Ovis aries: one gene and its partner. The protein of the gene in region 1 interacts with the protein of each later gene in a biochemical or structural test. Links are inferred from orthologs where the notes say so. Each region holds a gene or a part of one and is shown in the gene's direction. Other genes may lie near its edges.

Region 1 (9,879 bases):
GGGCCATGGGGGCAGCCTGAAAAAGGGGAGCAAGCAGTGGGAGGGTAGGGGGTGTCCTTGAGGCCTGGGTGGAGGTGCTTAGGAGTTCTCCCAGCCCTGCTGTGTTCCTCCGCAGGTGGTAATAGACAAACATCCCGTCCGGTTTTTTGTACATAAGAGGCCCCATGTGGATTTCTTCTTGGAAGTGGTGAGTTTGCAGACGCTGAAGGCAGTTCTGGGATGAAGGAATGGTTTTAGGGCTCTGGGAATGTAGAGGATTTGGAGGAATTAAGGGATCAAGAGAAATGGGCAGGGGCAGTTTTGGAGAGGGGAGGTTGTTGGATGATCAGAGAAGGGCTTTCCATAGTTAGAGTTCATTTATTATGCTGATGCAGTTCTATTTTTGCATGGCCTTTCTGCTACCTTGTTCTTGCATCTGTGAATCTTAAGGGGGTATGATGCCTAAAACTTGGAGTCTTAAGGACAGTTTCAAAATTTTGTGTCCTCAGAGACATGCAGTGTTGCTGAAAAGCCTGAAGGTCTTCACTGGAGTCTTAGTAAAAGGGAACTGTATGTCCAAATGAACAATCACCTCTTCTGACAGCTTCCTCTTGTCTAATCTATTTCAGGTGAGCCAGTGGTACGAGTTGGTGGTGTTCACAGCAAGCATGGAGATTTATGGCTCTGCTGTGGCAGATAAACTGGATAATAGCAGAAGCATTCTCAAGAGGAGATACTACAGACAGGTAAGGGACTAGAATCTAAGCCTAAGAATGAGGCTGGGGAGGCAGGCCATCAGGGAGGGGCTTCAGTTTGAGGCAACTGCCCAGGAATGGGACCTTCCTTTTTTTTTTTTTTTTTTTTTTTTAGTTTTAATTTTGGTTCAATATATATATATATTTTTAATTTTAAAATCTTTAATTCTTACTTGCATTCCCAAACATGAACCCCCCTCCCACCTCCCTCCCCATAACATCTTTCTGGGTCATCCCCATGCACCAGCCCGAAGCATGCTGCATCCTGCGTCAGACATAGACTGGCGATTCAATTCACATGATAGTATACATGTTAGAATGTCATTCTCCCAAATCATCCCACCCTCTCCCTCTCCCTCTGAGTCCAAAAGTCCGTTATACACATCTGTGTCTCTTTCCCTGTCTTGCATACAGGGTCGTCATTGCCATCTTCCTAAATTCCATATATATGTGTTAGTATACTGTATTGGTGTTTTTCTTTCTGGCTTACTTCACTCTGTATAATCGGCTCCAGTTTCATCCATCTCATCAGAACTGATTCAAATGAATTCTTTTTAACGGCTGAGTAATACTCCATTGTGTATATGTACCACAGCTTTCTTATCCATTCATCTGCTGATGGACATCTAGGTTGTTTCCATGTCCTGGCTATTATAAACAGTGCTGCGATGAACATTGGGGTACATGTGTCTCTTTCAATTCTGGTTTCCTCGGTGTGTATGCCCAGCAGTGGGATTGCTGGGTCATAAGGTAGTTCTGGAATGGGACCTTCTAAGGGTGTGTGTGTGGGTACTACATAATCCCCTTTTGTGGGAACTGGCTGCCTGTGGGCATTGTTGGGATTGGGGGAGCAATCACAGAGGGCGGAGTCTCCTTTTGATGCCCAGCCCACCCTGCCTTCCAGCACTGCACTTTGGAATTGGGCAGCTACATCAAGGACCTCTCTGTGGTCCACAGTGACCTCTCCAGCATTGTGATCCTGGATAACTCGCCAGGGGCTTACAGGAGCCATCCAGGTAAGGGAGAAGGCAGTGAGTCTGGCAGGACTAGAAAGTGGTTCTAAGGAGGTATTTTGAATGCATGGGGCTGGGATTCCCTGGTTTACAGTAGGTCAGGATGCAAGCTGTTTTTTTCATATGAGAGTGTTCCCTGCCTCCCCCCCAATATGTTTCATAAATCAGATTTTTCATATAAAATTTGCTTTAGGTAAGACACAAGGCACAAGTTTGACTAGAAGCCTTACCCTAGTATGAGATATGGTGATTAAAATTTAATTTCGTTTTGGAAAATAAATACAGAAGGTTTTACTTAGGTCATTGAGTTTGGGAGGGAGGTTATGTATTTTAAAGTAACCGCCCCCAAATAAAAGGGAAAACACCCTTTCTCTCTTGAACCCTTTATTCTCATGTGCCTTTTCACCCACCCTAGACAATGCCATCCCCATCAAATCCTGGTTCAGTGATCCCAGTGATACCGCCCTTCTCAACCTGCTTCCAATGCTGGATGCCCTCAGGTAAGGGAAGCTAGACACTTAGATTTCTGAGAAGAAGAGTGGTAGGGGATCCCAAGAAGGAATAAAAGTTTGTCCTGTTTTACTTCCTTATCTCTTTTCCCTAAGAATATAATTTTTGAACCTAGGTCTAAACTCCTCACCTTTAGCCATTGGGTTTTGGGCAAACTGAACCTCAGCCTCATGAGAAAATGGTGGTTCTTTCTGTCCCACGTCTTCAGTGAGGCTGCTTTACATTAGTGTGAGGAGGCTGTCCCCATGAGGACTCTACCAATGCAAGTTATTGTCGTCCCAGGTTCACCGCTGATGTTCGTTCTGTGCTGAGCCGAAACCTTCACCAACATAGGCTCTGGTGACAGCTGCTCCCCCTCCACCTGAGTTGGGGTGGGGGGGAAGGGGAGGGTGAGCCCTCGGGATGCCGTCTGATGCCCTGTCCAACGGTGAGGACTGTCTGGGCAGGGTCTGCCCCTCCCACCCCTCTCTGCCCTGGGAGCCTTGCACTCCCTACGGAGTCTGGATGGACACAAGGGCCAGATTCTGAAGCAGCCTCACTCTAACTTCGTGTTCGCACTCCTGGAAACCCCAGACTGGGACATAAGCGGAGACCTAGGAGAGCCGCAACAGTGTCTGGTGGAGAGACACAACTGGCCAGAGTGAGACAGACATTCGGTAATCCGGGAGGCTCAAAAGAGAAGCCAAGCCAGCTTTGTTGTGATTTGATTTTTTAAAAACTCTTGTACAAAACTGATCTAATTCTTCACTCCAAGGGCTGGGCTGTGGGTGGGAAACTGGGATTTTGGGCCACTGGACTTCCCCCAAACTTGTCCCCTCCTTTACTTTCCCTCTATTTGCCCTTCCTCCTAGATTCCCTCAGATCTGTAACCAGCTTTCTCTTTTTTCCTTTCCTCTCTTTTAAACCATGCATTATAACTTTGAAACCAAAGCTGCCCTAGGTCCTTCTCTGGGGTTTGGGGAAACGAGGGAGGGGTTTTTGTTCATATCCACCCTGTTCACTAGGCAGAGAGAGAAGAGCCTGCTGTAGACCCTAAGTGTAGGGGGAAGGATAGTGTTGGCTTTCCCTGGCAGGAAGGGTCTTAGTGACAGGATGGGCACCCTGGTGGGGAGTGAAGAGACAGCTGTGTGTCCTGAGAGAACCTGAGCTTCAGTGCAGTAGGACGAAGTATTAAAGGAGTAGAAACCTCGACGACAAGAAAGGCTGGGCTTCGTCTGGAAGACTGGCATGTACTAGCTAGGCAGGCGCTTCCTTCGAGCGGCGGGCTCCCCAGCCCCCTGGCTGACCCGGCCCCACGTCCCCACCTCCCCGGGGCCCTCCTCCCAAAGCCCAAGCCGGCTCTACTTCCTCGCGCCTGCCACGTGACGCTCCGCCCTTTGAGATCACATGATTTTCGCGGACACAGCAGCGGTGTTCTTCCGCGCTGACGTAGTCCTTACCTTTTAGACCTCCTCTCCAGTCCCTATTGGTCCACTCATTATTGGAACTTAAGCGTCCAGTGCGTCTCTCCAAACAGGTTTCGTTTCTGCCCTCTTATTTCCAGCGACCTCTTCCTCCACTTGGGTACTACTTTGTTTTGGTGTCAACGGCCGCCTTCAGCGTACCAACAGATTTCGTGAATAGCTATCCTTTAATTATCTGCCTTTCCTCTGCATTACTTCCGAAAAGAGCTTTCGGAGAGCCAAGTCTCAAATTACGATTACCATCTTTTAGCCCTTATCATCGTTACCTCCCTGTGGGGAAAGTCGGGAAATGGATTTTCAGTTATTTCCGACGATAGCAAAAGGCAACCATCTTTTCTACGCCGCCTGCGTAATTTACAAATTGATTCCAAAGCGATTACGCTGAGGGCGTGAGAGAGGAGGTCAGTAGGTGGTGCTACGCTACTGGCGTTAGGGCAGTTACGTCAGTGGCGTAACATAGCAGCCTGGGAGGCCCCTGTTGGCTGGGGGCGGGGTTGGTGAATAGGGAAGTGGCGCAAGTCCGGGGATCGCTCCGCTGAATCCGCCCGCGCGTCGCTGCCGTCGCCGCCGCCCCCCGTCCCGGCCCCCCCCGGGTTCCCTCAGCCCAGCCCGGTCCAGCCCGGTTCCCGGGAGGATGAAGTTCGTGTATAAAGAGGAGCATCCGTTCGAGAAGCGCCGCTCTGAGGGCGAAAAGATCCGAAAGAAATACCCGGACCGGGTCCCGGTGAGGACAGTAGCCAGGGCCGAGGGCGCGGGGCGCTGGCGCTGACGCCACAGCCTGGGCTTGAGTCCGGGACCCACAGCGCAGGCATCAGGCTGCCGGTTGTGGCGGCGTTGGGAACGAGCCCCAACCCGCTGTTTCTGGGACCGGAGGTGAAAGGAATGGGGTACCAGTAGAGCTGAAAGTGAGAAGATGTAGACTCGAGAGACAGACCTTGGGGTTCCCGTGGGAGGCTGCGGGGCGTTTGACAGTCTGAGCTTCCCATAAGGTTTTTGAAATTGAAGCTCTGGTTGGCCCGAATAAGTCATCCTCGTCTGATTAACGTAATTGTTTTTATGACGCCGTATTCAGGGATCCTGGATGTTTAGGTGAATTAGAGTCAATGGGGTCAGAATTCCTATTCAGGGCTGCGCCGCGTGTTAAGAGACAAAGAGAAATGAGTCTGGGGTACGTGTGGGTGCTAGGAATGTTGAATTCTTGACAGGTGGAGCTGTGCGTCTGTGTACCTAGTGTCTGCTAATTTTTATCTTCTTTTTAACAGGTGATAGTAGAAAAGGCTCCTAAAGCTCGAATAGGAGACCTGGACAAAAAGAAATACCTGGTGCCTTCTGATCTTACAGGTGGGAACCTGACCCAGTACTCAGATTTGTTTCCTGGGGGTGGGAGTACAGTCTCTGATGGAGGAGACTCCACATAGCAGGTGTTCTTTTGAGGGTATTTGTGATCTCTGACTTTTATTAAGCCTTGTATCTTGGCAGTTGGCCAGTTCTACTTCTTAATCCGGAAGCGAATTCATCTCCGAGCAGAGGATGCCTTGTTTTTCTTCGTCAACAACGTCATTCCGCCCACCAGTGCCACGATGGGTCAGCTGTACCAGGTATGGTGCCTGGGAAGTAGAGGAGGCTTTGGGGAGGAGTTGGAAGCGCTTGAGAGGCAGAAAGTTTGAAGTCAGCAGTTCTTGGACCAGCTGGCTTACTTAGCTCTCAATTTTATATTCACCCTTAAGATTTCCGCATCGTTCTGGGTTAGGGATTTGGACAGGGCAGTGAACCAGAGTAACCGCTGTGGTCCAGACTCCCCTCCAGCCATTCCGTGTTCCAAGGCAGTAGAGAGTAGTTTGAGATCTTATTGTCCAAGACTGTGGATAGGATAATACTGCCCAGCACTTATGGTCTGGAGCAAGTGAGAGGGAGAGTCAAAGCACTGGTGTTTGGGGTCTTCAAAAAGAATGGTTGTGGAAGAATATGTCCCAGTGGTGGGTGGTTCAAGTAACTAAAACTCTGATGCCTGAACGCTGTTGTTTTCTGTCTTCATCCCAGGAACACCATGAAGAAGACTTCTTTCTATACATTGCCTACAGTGATGAAAGTGTCTACGGTCTGTGAAGCTGCTGCCCCTAAGGTGGGGGGTCCCATTCTACAAAGAGAGAGGTGGCCCCCCTTCCTTGACCTACTCCTCCTTGAGGTTCAAACACCACCTCCCTTCTTCAGGACCTGCACTTCCTAATGTTTGAGACTCTCCTACAGACCCTCTTAACACAAGGGTTAATGGGGGAGATGGCCTCTAATACCTCTCCTTTCTTTCTTCCCCTTTCTTTACCACCTTTCCCATTCTGCTTTAGATTTCTTGATTGTCAATCTCTGTCACATCTGGTGATTGTTTTGGTTTCTGTTCCCTTTCTAACTGCCCAAGGGGCTCAGAGCCCCAACAATCCTTTCTTTTCACTACCTTCTTTTTGGGGGGTAGATGGAAGGGACTGAAATTGTGGGGGAAGGTAGGAGGCACATCAATAAAGAGGAAACCACCACCAAGCTGAACTGGATTTTTTCTTTGTGTTGTTCCCCTCCCCCTTTTGTTCTCTTCAAGTGGTGGGAAAAGAGTAGGTTAGAGGGAATAGTATATTTTGGTTTGTTCTGCTTATGTTCGGCTTTTCCTTGTGTATATTAAGAGTGTGCTTTTGTTATGAGGGATGGAATACTGAATATCATTTCATGAAAGTTCAGTTTTATATACGTGTATATGGGTTGGGTCCTGAGGTTATTAAAGTTTTTTACAGTGGGTTCCTGTGGATAAAGTTTGAAAGCACCTTCTTCAGATAAAACATCCAACTGTGTCGTAACTTTCTGGATTAAGGAAGAGATTTTCGAGTATGGGAGCTAGTGAAAGGGCTCCGTTGTCAGATGTATGTCGCTTTGCCCGGCGTGAGGGATCCAGTGGAGTGGAATCCAAGGGAGGGAGAAAACTGGGAGGAGGGAGCCATTATCACCAGGAGAACTTCATCTCCCAGCAGCCTTTCTCTAACTGGCCGGAAGTGGGGTGGTCCCCACGGAGATAGAAAGCTGCAGAATTGAGGCAGTATGGTGGCCGAGAGTTCTTATCCCTTCTTCCCGTTCTTTCTTGGCGCCGCCTAGCCTACATATCCCAGGAGCCTGCGCGTACTCTTCCGCCCTCCCCTCTGCTCCCAATCTCCCCGCCACTCCCCGGGGGAGGAGAGCAGTTTAGTGCGCCTGCGCCCAGTCCGTGGTTTGCTGGGAATTGGAGTTCCGGATGCTTATACAGGCCCCTTCTCGCTCACGGCGGACTGACTACAATCCCCTTGATGCATTGCGCGTTAGCACCCGCGAAGGGAGGGGGAGAGAGAAGGAGGGAGGGTGGAGAGGAGGAGGGAGCAGGCGGCCGGCGGCGCGGGGGGAGGGGGCCCGGTCCGGGAGTGCGGGAGGCTGTGGTAGAGGGAGGTGGCGGCAGCGGCTAGCGGACTCGAGTCACTACCGAGCCGAAAGAGACACCTCTGTGGAGCGAGGCAGTAGGAGCACCGAGCACCGGAGGCGGCACCGGGATCCCCGGCTCAGGGGAGGGGGGCGCCGAACCGGGAGGAGGGTAGGGGGCGATGCTGGAAGCCATGGCGGAGCCCAGTCCCGAAGGTGAGCTCTCGACCGGCACAGGGCGCTGAGCCGGCGGGGGGCGGGCGAGGAATCTATTGGCAAACTTGGAGGTCGAGCCCCGGAGTCCAGCAGGGGAGAGCGGGGAGGGGGTCGGGGGCCTGCCCCTGAAGGTGGGAGAGTGACGAGTTGAGAGACCTTGGAGGAAAGAGGAGTGCGAGACTGGGCCGGGGGTAGTTGGAGATTAGACGCTGTGTGTGTGTAGAGGGGGTGGGGTGGGATGGGGGAGTGGGAGCTGGAAACCAGAGCTTCGAGGGTTAGGGGCCGAAAGGGCCTCCGGCAGGTTGGGGCCCTAGAACTGAGAGGTTAGGGGAATCTGGGAGCCGTAGAGTTGTTGAGGAGAGAGGATGTAGGAGACGATTGAGTGAGGAGCTCGGTAGTTCGCCGAGGTGGGGGAGTTTGTGGCGGTGGTGCCGGAGCTCCCGGTAGTTGCCGCCGGAGGTAGCCCGGTGATTGTTGGAGGGGTGGGCAGATAGTTGTGGGGAGAAGAGGGGGCCTGGGCATTGTCTGCGGTAGAGGGACTTATGCCGGTGGGTAGCTGTGGGGAGAGGGAGCTGGGGAGCGACGAGAGCAGGGTAGTTTTGGGGGCGGTGGGGCGGGGTGGGGGTTTAAGGCCGGCGAGTTGCGCCGGAGGGGGGTTTTGGTCGGCGAGGGTTAGAGCCTGGGAGTTGCGGAGGGTGAGGGGGGCAACGGCGGCGGCAGCTGGGGTTGCTGGGCGGGCAGAGTAGCTGGGGTGGGGGCTAGAGTTTAGGGGTCCGTAGTCTTAGTGACTTGGTGGCGAGTCCGGGGGCGGAGGGGGGGCGGCGGCCGAAGAGAGCTCGGAACTGGGCCCGGGGGCCCGGCGGGGAGCCCGAGGAGCTTGAGACGGGGAGGGGCCAAAGCCCCGGATGGGGGCGGAGGGACGCCGAAATTGTGGGGAGCATGGGGGGGCAGGTGGGGCCGCGTCCGGGTGAGAGCTCTCTGGTCTGTCCCGGCCGCGAAGTGGCGTTGGATGTGTGAGCCCGTGTGTGTTTGGGGGTGGGGGGGGGGGGGGGCGCGCCGGGCCTCGTGCTCGAGTAGAAGGGGCCGGAGGGCGGGGAGCGGTTCGGCGTGGTCATCCTGGACCCTGGGGGCCGGCGGGCGGCGTGTGCGGGCGCGGAGGGCCCCGGGCGGTAGAGCGCGGCGGGGTGGGAACTCGGGGCACTGAGCGCGTGTGAAGGACAGGGGCAGGCGGCAGCCCGGGCTCGGTCCAGGGAGCGGTATGGCGGGGTGGGGCGCGGAGAGAGCCGAGGAGCTCGGAGTCTAGAGAAACCGTGAGTTGGGGGGGCGGGGCGCCAGGCCTCTGGTTGGGGGGGAGGGGAGCGCTATAGCGAGGCCTGAGAGGGCGCCGCGCCCAGGCTCCGCCCCTCGCGGGGCGGAAGGGGGAGCAGGGGCGGGCCCAGCACCGCTGGGGGCTTGCTCGCCTGGCTGAAGGACCTGGGAGTGGAGGAGGTTCACTTGGGACCGCGAAGGTTGAGAGGTGGGGTTTCACACCGACTCTTTCCTAGTGCCTTGACTCAGCTTTTATTGCTTTTACAGATCCACCTCCGACCCTTAAACCAGAGACTCAGGTGAGGGTTTCCCATTCCTTTGCAGCCCAATATTATTGCAGCCGCGCCCCCACCCCCACCCCCCCCCCCCCCCCCCGCCTGGGCCTCTCCTCTCTCCCTCCACCTTTTCCTGATTCCTCACTCTGGGGACTATGCCTTTGGAGATGCCCCTCTTAAACTCTGTGTGATTTTCTTTCAGCCACCAGAGAAACGTCGGAGGACAATTGAGGATTTCAACAAATTTTGCAGTTTTGTTTTGGCCTATGCAGGTTACATCCCCCCTAGCAAGGAGGTAGGGACAGAAGGACAACTGACTGGAGGGTGGTGTCCTAGGGCTGTAGAGGAGCTCTTGAGCTTACCAGACTTTGTTACTTTATATACAAAGCCTCAAAATTACATGTGAAAGACTTAAGGAAATGGAAATTCTGGTGGGAGAACTAGTATCTGGGGTGGGAGTGGGATTAACAGGTGGCTTGAGTGCAGTGAATGGTTTTGGGGTGTTCTTAATGGAAGGTCCTCTGGGATAAGTGTTAGGAAGCTGAAGATAGTAACAAATGAAGCACAGAAACAGCTGAAGAAATACTGCTCTGGTCTAGGGGACGCAGTGTTGTGAAGGCAGTGGGTGTTGGGGAGATGGTGAGAATTTGAGGGCAGAGGTTACATGGAAGTGTTCAAGAGGAGATGCTGAGGAGAATGGGGATGGTAATAAATTTTCTGAATTTAGTGAGATTTGGTGGTTTTGGAAGGATATTTTCATCTGTTAAGTTTGGTATGTAGAGGAGCTGAGATAAGGCTGGGCCCCCTTTGACCCTGGTCTTTTCTGTCCTTTAAGGAAAGTGACTGGCCAGCCTCTGGCTCCAGCTCTCCATTGCGAGGTGAGAGTGCGGCAGATAGCGACGGCTGGGACTCAGCCCCCTCAGATCTCAGAACC
Region 2 (8,476 bases), on another chromosome or scaffold:
GAGGCTCAGGGAGGTGGCCACGCGCAGACTGTACTGGGCCTCCCTGAAACCTCAGAAGATTCTCTAAGGTTGCCAAAGCACTGGGCCTGAACAATGAAACACAAATCAGCTCCCTTCCCCCAGGCTATGCAAGCCAGAAACCATGGCACCCTCCTAAATAACGCAGGTTAAAGAGGGAATCAGGCTAAAATTACAAATGCTGTAGAAACCAACTGCCCAGAAAGCAGCGGGAGGTGGGTGTGTGGCGCACAGCCAAAGCGGCAGAAGGGGCCAGCCTCACCTGCAGGATCGGGAAACACGCACTGTCTCAACCCAGTCAGCACTGCCCTCCTGAGCAAAAAAGCCACGGACATAAGAGGGCAGAAAGAAATGAGGGTGAATGAAGGAGCAAGAGCAGCAGAGACCTCATCAGCGCAGGCGGCGTGGAAAGAGCTGCTACAGTGATACACTGAGGGCCGTTTGACCAAGAAGAACAGAAAAAGTGCCAGAAAGCAGTTACTAGGTACGAGAAAGTACAAAACCGCTGTAAAACACTAGGAGAGAATGTAGTGTGTGACTCTGACCAGTACATCAGGATGGGTTTGGGTTTTGCTCATTTTTGGTTGTTGATCTGGGTGGGCGGTGGTGGGGGGGGCGGGGTTTAGTCCAGGAAACCGTGAAGACCCTGTGTCACACGCCAGCCTTTCCTCACCTGCAATTAATTACAACCTGGAAGACAAAGGCGGATTCAGACTAAATGCACAACGTGGGAGGAAAATGGTTTCCACCTTCATCTACTTAACGGGCAAGAGAGACTATCCTCAGAACAAATTTTCCAAGAAACAAACAGTAAACTAGGAGGGGAAGCAGAAACAAAAGTGATAACATATAAAATATATATCCAAGCTATTGGTATAGATACAAAAATACATAAATAAAAGCATAAAAACTAGTCTAGCCGTCTGGGAAGCCCACATGGGAAAGTGGAGTCTTCACCGTTTCTTGGGTTACAAATTTCTGAGTTTCCGCAGTGTTCCTACTAGAACGCACTCTACTTCAGTAGGCGTTTGCAATTTCAAGGTTAGTATTAACATTCGAAACTACCTGATGTCAGGGATAGCCATCACAATGCAACCGTGAAGGACCTCCCTCTGATTTAGACTCTCTTCTCATCTCTAGCAGGTTGAGCTGTCTTAACTTACACTCAGACCTAATTCCCCAGGACTCTGCCTGCAGTGTGCACCGGAAGGGCCTCCCTGGCCAGGGCCCTCCCGCCACCCTGGGTCTCCCGCACCTCCTTCCGCGCTGCCTAAAACCCTCAGCTACAGCCGCCGCCCCGGCTCCCATCCCTCCAGCGGGGCCTGGAGACAGCACACGGGGGCCCCTGGGCCGGGGCTCGGGTACTGACCGCGGCCAGGGGGCAGCAGGCTGCTCAGGTGAGGCAGGCTCAGCCTCCGCAGCTGGTCCAGCTTCTGGCGCAGCTCGCGCACCTGGCTGTCCGAGCGGCTGACCCTCTGGCGCAGGGTCCGCAGCTCGCCGTTCTTCTTCTCCACCTGCTCCCGCAGGCAGCACACTTGGCTCTTGCTCTGGCGGGAGGAGAAGCAGTAGGAGTGCAGTGAGTCGATGAGCTTGCAGGCGCCCGACGCCGACAGGATGACCTCGTTGATGGACATGGGGCTGGCGTCGCTGTGCTCGCTCTGGACGGCCTCGGCCGCCGGCTTCGGGGTCACGTCGGTGGGAGGCGCCGAGGCGCCCTGGGCTGGCTTCTGCGGTGTGGCCGTGAGCGACGAGCTCGCGGGGGGGCAGGCGCGCAGAGGGCTCTGTGCCGGCCCCTTCTCGGGCCCGGGGCTACTCCCGCTGTGGCTGGGCTCGGCGTCTCTCCTCAGCCGCTTCCGCTCCACAGGCTCCCGGGGCACGGCCGGCTTCTCTCGGGCATGCTTGGAGGAGAAGCTATAGGAGTGAAGCGAGCCGATGAACTTGCAGGCCCCGGAGCCCGGGGGCGTGAAGTCGTCCGCGGAAACGCCGCTCCTGTCCACCTGGCCGCCGTCGGCGGGGTTGGCGCCCTCGTCGCCAGCATCCACGGCCCCTGTGCCGGCTTCTCCCTGGCTGCTGGAGGTGGCGGTGGAGGCCGGACCGTCCTCCGCGCGTCCTTCCGGAGGCTGCCGCGACCACTCCTGACCAGCGGTCTCCCGGGCGACCCTGGCCGCGGTTCGGCCCTGCGGTACGGCCCGCTTCAGCCTGCGGGGCTCTGGCTTGGCCATTGGGCTTGCGCTTGAGGACGACGGTGCCCCTGCAGCTGCCTTCCCTACCGCGGTGTCACTCGCCTGTGCCCTCAGACCCGCCGAGGCCCTCCCGGTGTCCCTTCTCCGGGGGCGGCCATGGCCTCCAGCCCCCCTTTTCTTCTCCGCCAGGTGGAAGATGGACGGCACGGCCGTGGGCTTGAGCAGGCGGTGCTGGTCCTCCAGTCTCTTGGAGAAGCTGTCTTTGGTGAAGTGCTCACTGCAGAGGAAAGAGTACTTGGTGGGGGTCCAGTTATCCCTCTGAACAGCCTTCAGCCACTGCATCAGCCGCTTTGAGTCCTTTAGGGGGAATCTGCAGGACAAATAGAAAATTACGAAAAAATAATTAAAAAGCCTCCCCTAATACTATCAACTGTAACAGGAGAATAACAGTCTTTACAAATACCCAGACCTGTACTGACTTTCCCATTTACAAACTTAGCAAAGATCTAAGGAACACCTTGTACTTGCAACTTATTAGTGGAACAGAAAGATGAGACTCACACTGCCTACCCTTAAGAAGCTAGAGTCCATGGGCAAATCAGAGGCGAAGGCGAATACCTCCTCCTAGGCTGCGGTAAATAACGTGCAAGGGCAGAGTGCTGGGAGAGACAGAGCCGAAGGCATCGCGACAGCAGGAAGGCTCCCGGAAGTAGTTCCTGGAAGCTCGCAGCAGGCCAGCCCTCACGGTGAACTGGGATGCAGGACTCTAGGCGCCAAGAGGAGGAAGGATGGCTGCCCACAGGCACCCCGCCCCCCCACTTAAAAGCCAGGTCCGGAGTCAGCCAACAGAGATGGGGGCAAGAGGCCAGGAGGGCACTCCACCCCAAGGTGCCCCAGCTGCCGCTCACGGGGCCGAGGGTGTGAGACAGCTCTAAGAGGGGGCGCCTGCGCTCCCGACAGACGTCCACCACCAGGAGTAAGACCACTCCCTTTAAAGAGCAACCAGCCCCCGGAAGATACTGAATAAAATACCTAACTTTTCTTTCTTCATTCAAGCAAGATCTCTGTTTAGAAAACTCTAGTGGAACTGCACGCGCACGTGTGGGGGTGGTGCGCCCACTCTGGACGGCTGTTCGCCACATCTGAGGCCGCCTAACCCACCGGAGCGCTGGGGGACCAGGCCCGGCGGCGAGTGGGGGTGGGCTGCTGGAATACCACCTCCTCAGCAAGTCCCAACCACTCCGACCTTCTAAATTTCCTCGTTGCTTTGGGAGCCCATTACCCTAAGACTCTCGCCCCACCCCCAGTTCCCAGGTGAGAAAACTACTGGCTCCGGAGGGAACGTGAGAAACCAGGGAGCTGGCATCTGCAATAACCTATTATATCTTAGCAGACTGTGACGATTTGAGACTTAGCGCTAACCAACTTCAACTTCCAGTGAGATTCTAAAGAGCCTTCGTGCAGGTATTGGAAACTTAAACATCCCCCTGAAACAGCAAAGAGAAAAGTCTGCGGCGGGAGGCTGTTCGGACAGAGGTTCTTCTGCTCACGTTCTGATACTGCAGGCGGGGAGGTCGCAGAAAACCACTCGCTTTTGAAGAGGGCTGAGTCCCAGCGCCTTCCTGGTGCGGGCCAGGCCAGAGAGAAGGCCGACCCCCACCCCGTTCCGGGCCACCCTCCGCGGCGCCACGACTCGCAGCGGCGCCCCGGCGGGGGCGGGCCGGGCCGGCAGCACGCGGCCGGGCGCCCCCCGGGACCCGGGGCCGTCCGGGGGACCCCCAGGACACAGCGCCCCGGGGCGCGTCAGTCCCCGGGGCGCGGGGTGCGTTCGCTCGGCCTCGTCCCGATCCAGAGGTCCAGGCGGGCTCCCCGCGACCGAAACGGCAGCAAAGTGACCGCGGGCGCGAGAGCACGGCCGCGCGGAGGAAGCGCGTCCCCCGCGCGCCCCGTCTCCGGAGCCTGGCGGCGGCAGCCCGAGCCCCGGCGGCTCAGGGCACCCGGCGGCCTACGACCGCCCGAGGGTCGCGGGCTCCGGGGGCCGCGGTGGCCCGAGGAGCCCGGCCCAGAGACGCCGGCGGGCCAAGGTCACACAGCGCCGCGCTGACTCACTCGCGGGGCCGGCGCCCCGAGCGCCCCAGCGTCCGGCCGGGCCGCGCCGCACCGCTCGCCCCGCAGGGCCGGGCCGGGTCGGGTCGGGCCGGGCCGGGCCGGGCCGGGCGGGGGCGTGGCCGGCGGGCCGCGCGGGCGGCGGACCGGCGGCGGCAGGCGGAGCCCGCTTACCTGTGGAAAGAGACGGCGCGCTTCTCCCCCTTGCCCTGCCGGTTGGAGCAGTTCGCGGCCGCGCAGCAGATCACCATCTCGGGCCTCGGGCCGCCGCCAGGCTCCGGCCCTCGTCTAGCCGCGCCGAGCCCCGAGCGGGACCGCCCCGAGGGGAGGGCGCGCGGCGACACGGCTGCGGGACGTGGGAGCCGGCCCCGCGGCCCCCGCCGTACGGCAAGATGGCGGCGCCCGCCCGCCCGCCGCCCGGCCGCCCGGCCCGGCTCTCGGCGCGCCCGAGGGCCCCGGCGCCAGGAGGGGCGCCGCCCGAGACGCGCGGGGCCGGGGGTGGCGGGGGCGGCGCCCCGGGCCCGCCGCGCCCGCCCGCCACATGGCGCCCGGGGCGCGTCCGTACGGCAAGATGGCCGCCCCGGCGGGCGCGCGCGCGCTGCCGGCCCGCCGCCCGCCCCGGCGCCCTGCGGCTCCCTGGCGCCGGCCTCCGCGGCCGCGGGGAATCGCCGCGGGGATCCCCGGGGGCGCGACGCAGGCCGCCGGGAGGCCGCGCGCGCGGGCCCGGGCCGCCGCGCCGGGCGCGCCGTACGCCAAGATGGCGGCGGCGCCGCGGCCGCGCAGTTCCGGCCGCGCACTTCCGGCCCCGCCCGCGCCCGCGCCGCGCGACCCGGATTGGCCCGGGCGGCGGCCCGTCGCGTCGCGCTGCGGGGCCGTCGGAGCGACGCCGCGCTCAGTCGGCGGCCCTGGAGCGAAGATGGACGCAGGTGAGGGCCGGCGGCGCGCGGGTCCGCCGGGGAGGCCCTCGCCGAGCGGCTGCGCGCCGGCGCCTGGGCTGGGGCCTCGCGGGCGCGGCGCGGGGCGGGGCGCGGCCCTGAGGCGGCGCGGGCGGCCGGCGAGGCGCTGACAGCCCTGCCAGGGTCGGCGTGTCTGGCGCCCCGGCGGCCGCTCCCGGGGGCCCGACGGCGGCCGGGACGAGCAGGGGCGGCGCGGGGCGCGGGCGGGGGCGCCGGGCGGCGCGGCGGGGCAGGCGAAGCCGGTCTCTGACGCGGCGGCGGGAAGCTTTTGTCCCCCCCCCCCCCCGCCCGGAGTTGAGAAGGGGAAACTTCAACTCTCACGAAGTTAAAGGCTGCAGGCGAGCGGCATACTTCAGTACTCACAACGCAGGGATGTTTTCTTCTTCAAATTCAGTAACTAATAAATGACCCCAGCGTTCCCCTTGATTGAAAGGACAGACGGACTCCGCCTCATCGTGTCTCAACTTCTTGGGAGCTTGCTTACAGCAATGCAGAATGTGTGGGACTGGGTTGGGGGGGTGTGTGCGCATCCGTGTCTCTCTGTGCGCTGTTTCCGTCTGTTTTCATTGTGTTTCTGCTGCGGAGGGGACACTTCTTTAATTTTTGCTGGCACGCTGTTGGGGATTTTTGTCCGGTATCCTTGAAAGCATTCTTACACCTTGAAAGGCCTTCTTTTTCCATCTCACAGCAGGGTTACTCTTTTTATAAAATCTGTAGGAAGTGATCTGTGTTAAGAACCTTCCCAACGGTACAGACTCTCCTCTGGCTTAATTCCCCCTGTTATCCTGGATGACATTGTTTTTGCTTCATTTTTTCTTCCTGGACAGCAGCTTCAATGGGCATTTACTGGACTGTCAACTTGGAAGCTGTGATATAAACCTTTATGGCCAATATTTCAGTGATTTGTGGCATCTTGTTAGTTCAACGTGTTAGGTAGTAGTAGGAGATGGTAGCCATGATTCCCAAAATGTGATGTTAACCAGATGTGTTGTGAAGCTGTTTAAAACAAAAAGGACTACTCCCCTGGATGGGGGAAGGAATAGAATTACTTACTTACTAAGACCATCCCTTGAGAGACTCGGTTAGGGTGGAGAGCACAGTGTTATGGTGGTCATTTTACCTTAAACGTGGAAGCCGTCCTGTTCAAGTTAAGAGCAGCCACATGATGGAGGCTCCATGGAACCCTGATCCCTGCTTCAAAGCAGAGCTGTTTGCACGTGAAGGCCTTTGCTGATGCTGACAGAAACGTCTAGGGTGTGTGGGTCAGTTTTCTTTCTGACCTGACGCTGTGCGTCCTTTGGGATCATTAATGTCCAGCCTGCCCTGATTCCTGGAGTCCTTACAGGTTCCGCCTTCCTGGCCAAACATTATGCAGTTCTGGTGGTTTTTACAGTCATCTGTTCAATAGCTGTGTTTATTACTGAGTGTGCGTTTGTGTCCGGCATTGTTCTACATCTTGGGACTAGAGACGTGAACGAAGTAGACAAAAAGTGTGTGCTGACTGACGTGTTAGACGTGACACCCACGGAGTGGCTCGTGGGAGAGTGCTGTGGCCCCAGCAGGAGGGAGTTGGAATCACCAGAATGGCCTGGAAAGATCTCACCACAGAGGCAGCCAGTTTTGACTGGGACTCAAAAGCGGTGCAGGGGGAAGGGCCTGTGGCCTGCTCCGCCAGTGGCCAGGGCGCAGTGGGTGGGGGTGAGCGAACTGAAGGCGGGGCAGCGAGAGGGTCTGGTCGTTGGACTTGCTGGCTCGTGGCATGTGAGTGGGACGGGGCTGCTTCAGGGGCCTTTTCAAGGAGCAGCGCGGCTTGCACTGGCTGCTCTGCTGTAGAGGAGCAGGAGGCCCGTCAGGAGGCCGCCGCAGTGAGCCAGGCGCGGGCCTGGAGCCCCGGGTCCTCGCAGGGAGAGGGGGTTGGGATCTGGTACCTCTGCAGGTCGGGGCAAGGAGGACAGTGGTGGTGGGAAGTGTGAGGGCCAGCCACGTGTTGAGAGGGGTTTGAAGTGCCGCGGTCTGTGGCTTGAGCTGGGACATGCGCGCGGGGAGACCTGGGGAGCCGCACTTGCTAGGGAGATGTTAGGAGGTGGGTCTTGCAGGGGGCGAGAGTGAGGCACCTGCTAGACGTCTGTGCTGTGTCGTCCAAGGAGCCTCGGGTCTGCGGGCCTGGAGCTGAGAGCGGAGGCCTGGGCTGGAGGTAGAAGTGTGTGCGGCTGGTTTGGGCAAGGGCTCTAAGGGCCTGAGTGGGAGGGGAGGCGGGGCTGGAGGCCCAGGGCTGCTGCCGGGCTGCGGGTGGCAGGCCAGACCCCAGGCCCGTCCTCACAGCCTGCTCTGGTTGGCACTGGACTTGACATGCTGTCGGCTCCTTGAGGACAGGGTTGGTGTCTTGTGCTTCATCTTTGGGCTTTGCCTGTGTCTGACAGGTAGGTGGTTGGTGATGGAAGCAGCAGAACGTGAGTTGCTGGTGATGCACCTGGTCCTATCCTGTGGGTGTTCCCGGGCTGCAGGGTTTGTGTATGATGGAAACCCGCGTGTTGGTGTAACGCGCAGGGGATGAGGAGGGCAGTCAGGCTCACTGAGGGCCGGCTGGAGCCCCTTCTCTCCGGTGTGTTCACTGGGGTGCCCTGGGCAGTGTCCTGGTGCCCCTAAAGTTCCAGCTTTTCTTTCCTTCCATCTATCTCCTTCCCTTGCTTCATCTTTTCATTGAGAACTGTTGCTGTTCAGCCGTGTCCCACTCTTTCTGGCCCCAGGGACTGCATCAAGCCAGGCTTCCCCGTCCATCAGCAACTCTCGGATCTTGCTGAAAGTCATGTCCATCGAGTCGGTGGTGCCATCCAACCATCGCATCCTCTGTCATCCCCTCTCCTGCCTTCAGTCTTTCCCAGCATCAGGCTCTTTTCTAATGAGTCGGCTCTTTGCGTCAGGTGGCCAAAATATTGGAGCTTCAGCATCAGTCCTTCCAGTGCCAGCATTTTCATATAAACTATTTGGGATTTGAAAATAACTACTTGCAAACTTGTGATTTTAAACATAAGCATGTTCGTATGGAAGAAAAGAAGGGAAGACCCTTCTTTTGGTTTTGTTTTAAAAGCATACATAACACATGTTTACAAAGCATAACACGTATTTATAAAATATAATCTCCCAGAAATATACACGTTGGGAAAACGTCTTTGAAGTGTGGTACGTTACACTGAGCTCTAAAGAGTTCTCATG

Evidence for each region. The genes of interacting proteins can lie anywhere in the genome.
Region 2: the proteins of GABARAP (region 1) and ATG4B form a complex in vitro, tested with the Homo sapiens proteins (3 studies listed by BioGRID and IntAct, with this or other methods). The link is inferred for Ovis aries from reciprocal best matches to the Homo sapiens genes GABARAP and ATG4B.

Annotation. Positions count from the first base shown.
Region 1 is NC_056064.1:26,840,691-26,850,569, reverse strand, and holds GABARAP (gamma-aminobutyric acid receptor-associated protein), read left to right. Parts: upstream 1-4,223; 5' UTR 4,224-4,354; coding exon 4,355-4,444; intron 4,445-4,982; coding exon 4,983-5,061; intron 5,062-5,199; coding exon 5,200-5,318; intron 5,319-5,760; coding exon 5,761-5,826; 3' UTR 5,827-6,252; downstream 6,253-9,879. Other genes in the region: CTDNEP1 (CTD nuclear envelope phosphatase 1), read left to right, coding at 116-187, 609-725, 1,639-1,750, 2,163-2,247, 2,540-2,600; PHF23 (PHD finger protein 23), read left to right, coding at 7,329-7,362, 8,938-8,969, 9,148-9,240, 9,781-9,879. UniProt on the Homo sapiens protein: Ubiquitin-like modifier that plays a role in intracellular transport of GABA(A) receptors and its interaction with the cytoskeleton.
Region 2 is NC_056054.1:284,310-292,785, reverse strand, and holds the start of ATG4B (cysteine protease ATG4B), read left to right. Parts: upstream 1-4,833; 5' UTR 4,834-4,848; coding exon 4,849-5,233; intron 5,234-8,476. Other genes in the region: peroxynitrite isomerase THAP4, read right to left, coding at 1,388-2,571, 4,482-4,558. UniProt on the Homo sapiens protein: Cysteine protease that plays a key role in autophagy by mediating both proteolytic activation and delipidation of ATG8 family proteins. Required for canonical autophagy (macroautophagy), non-canonical autophagy as well as for mitophagy.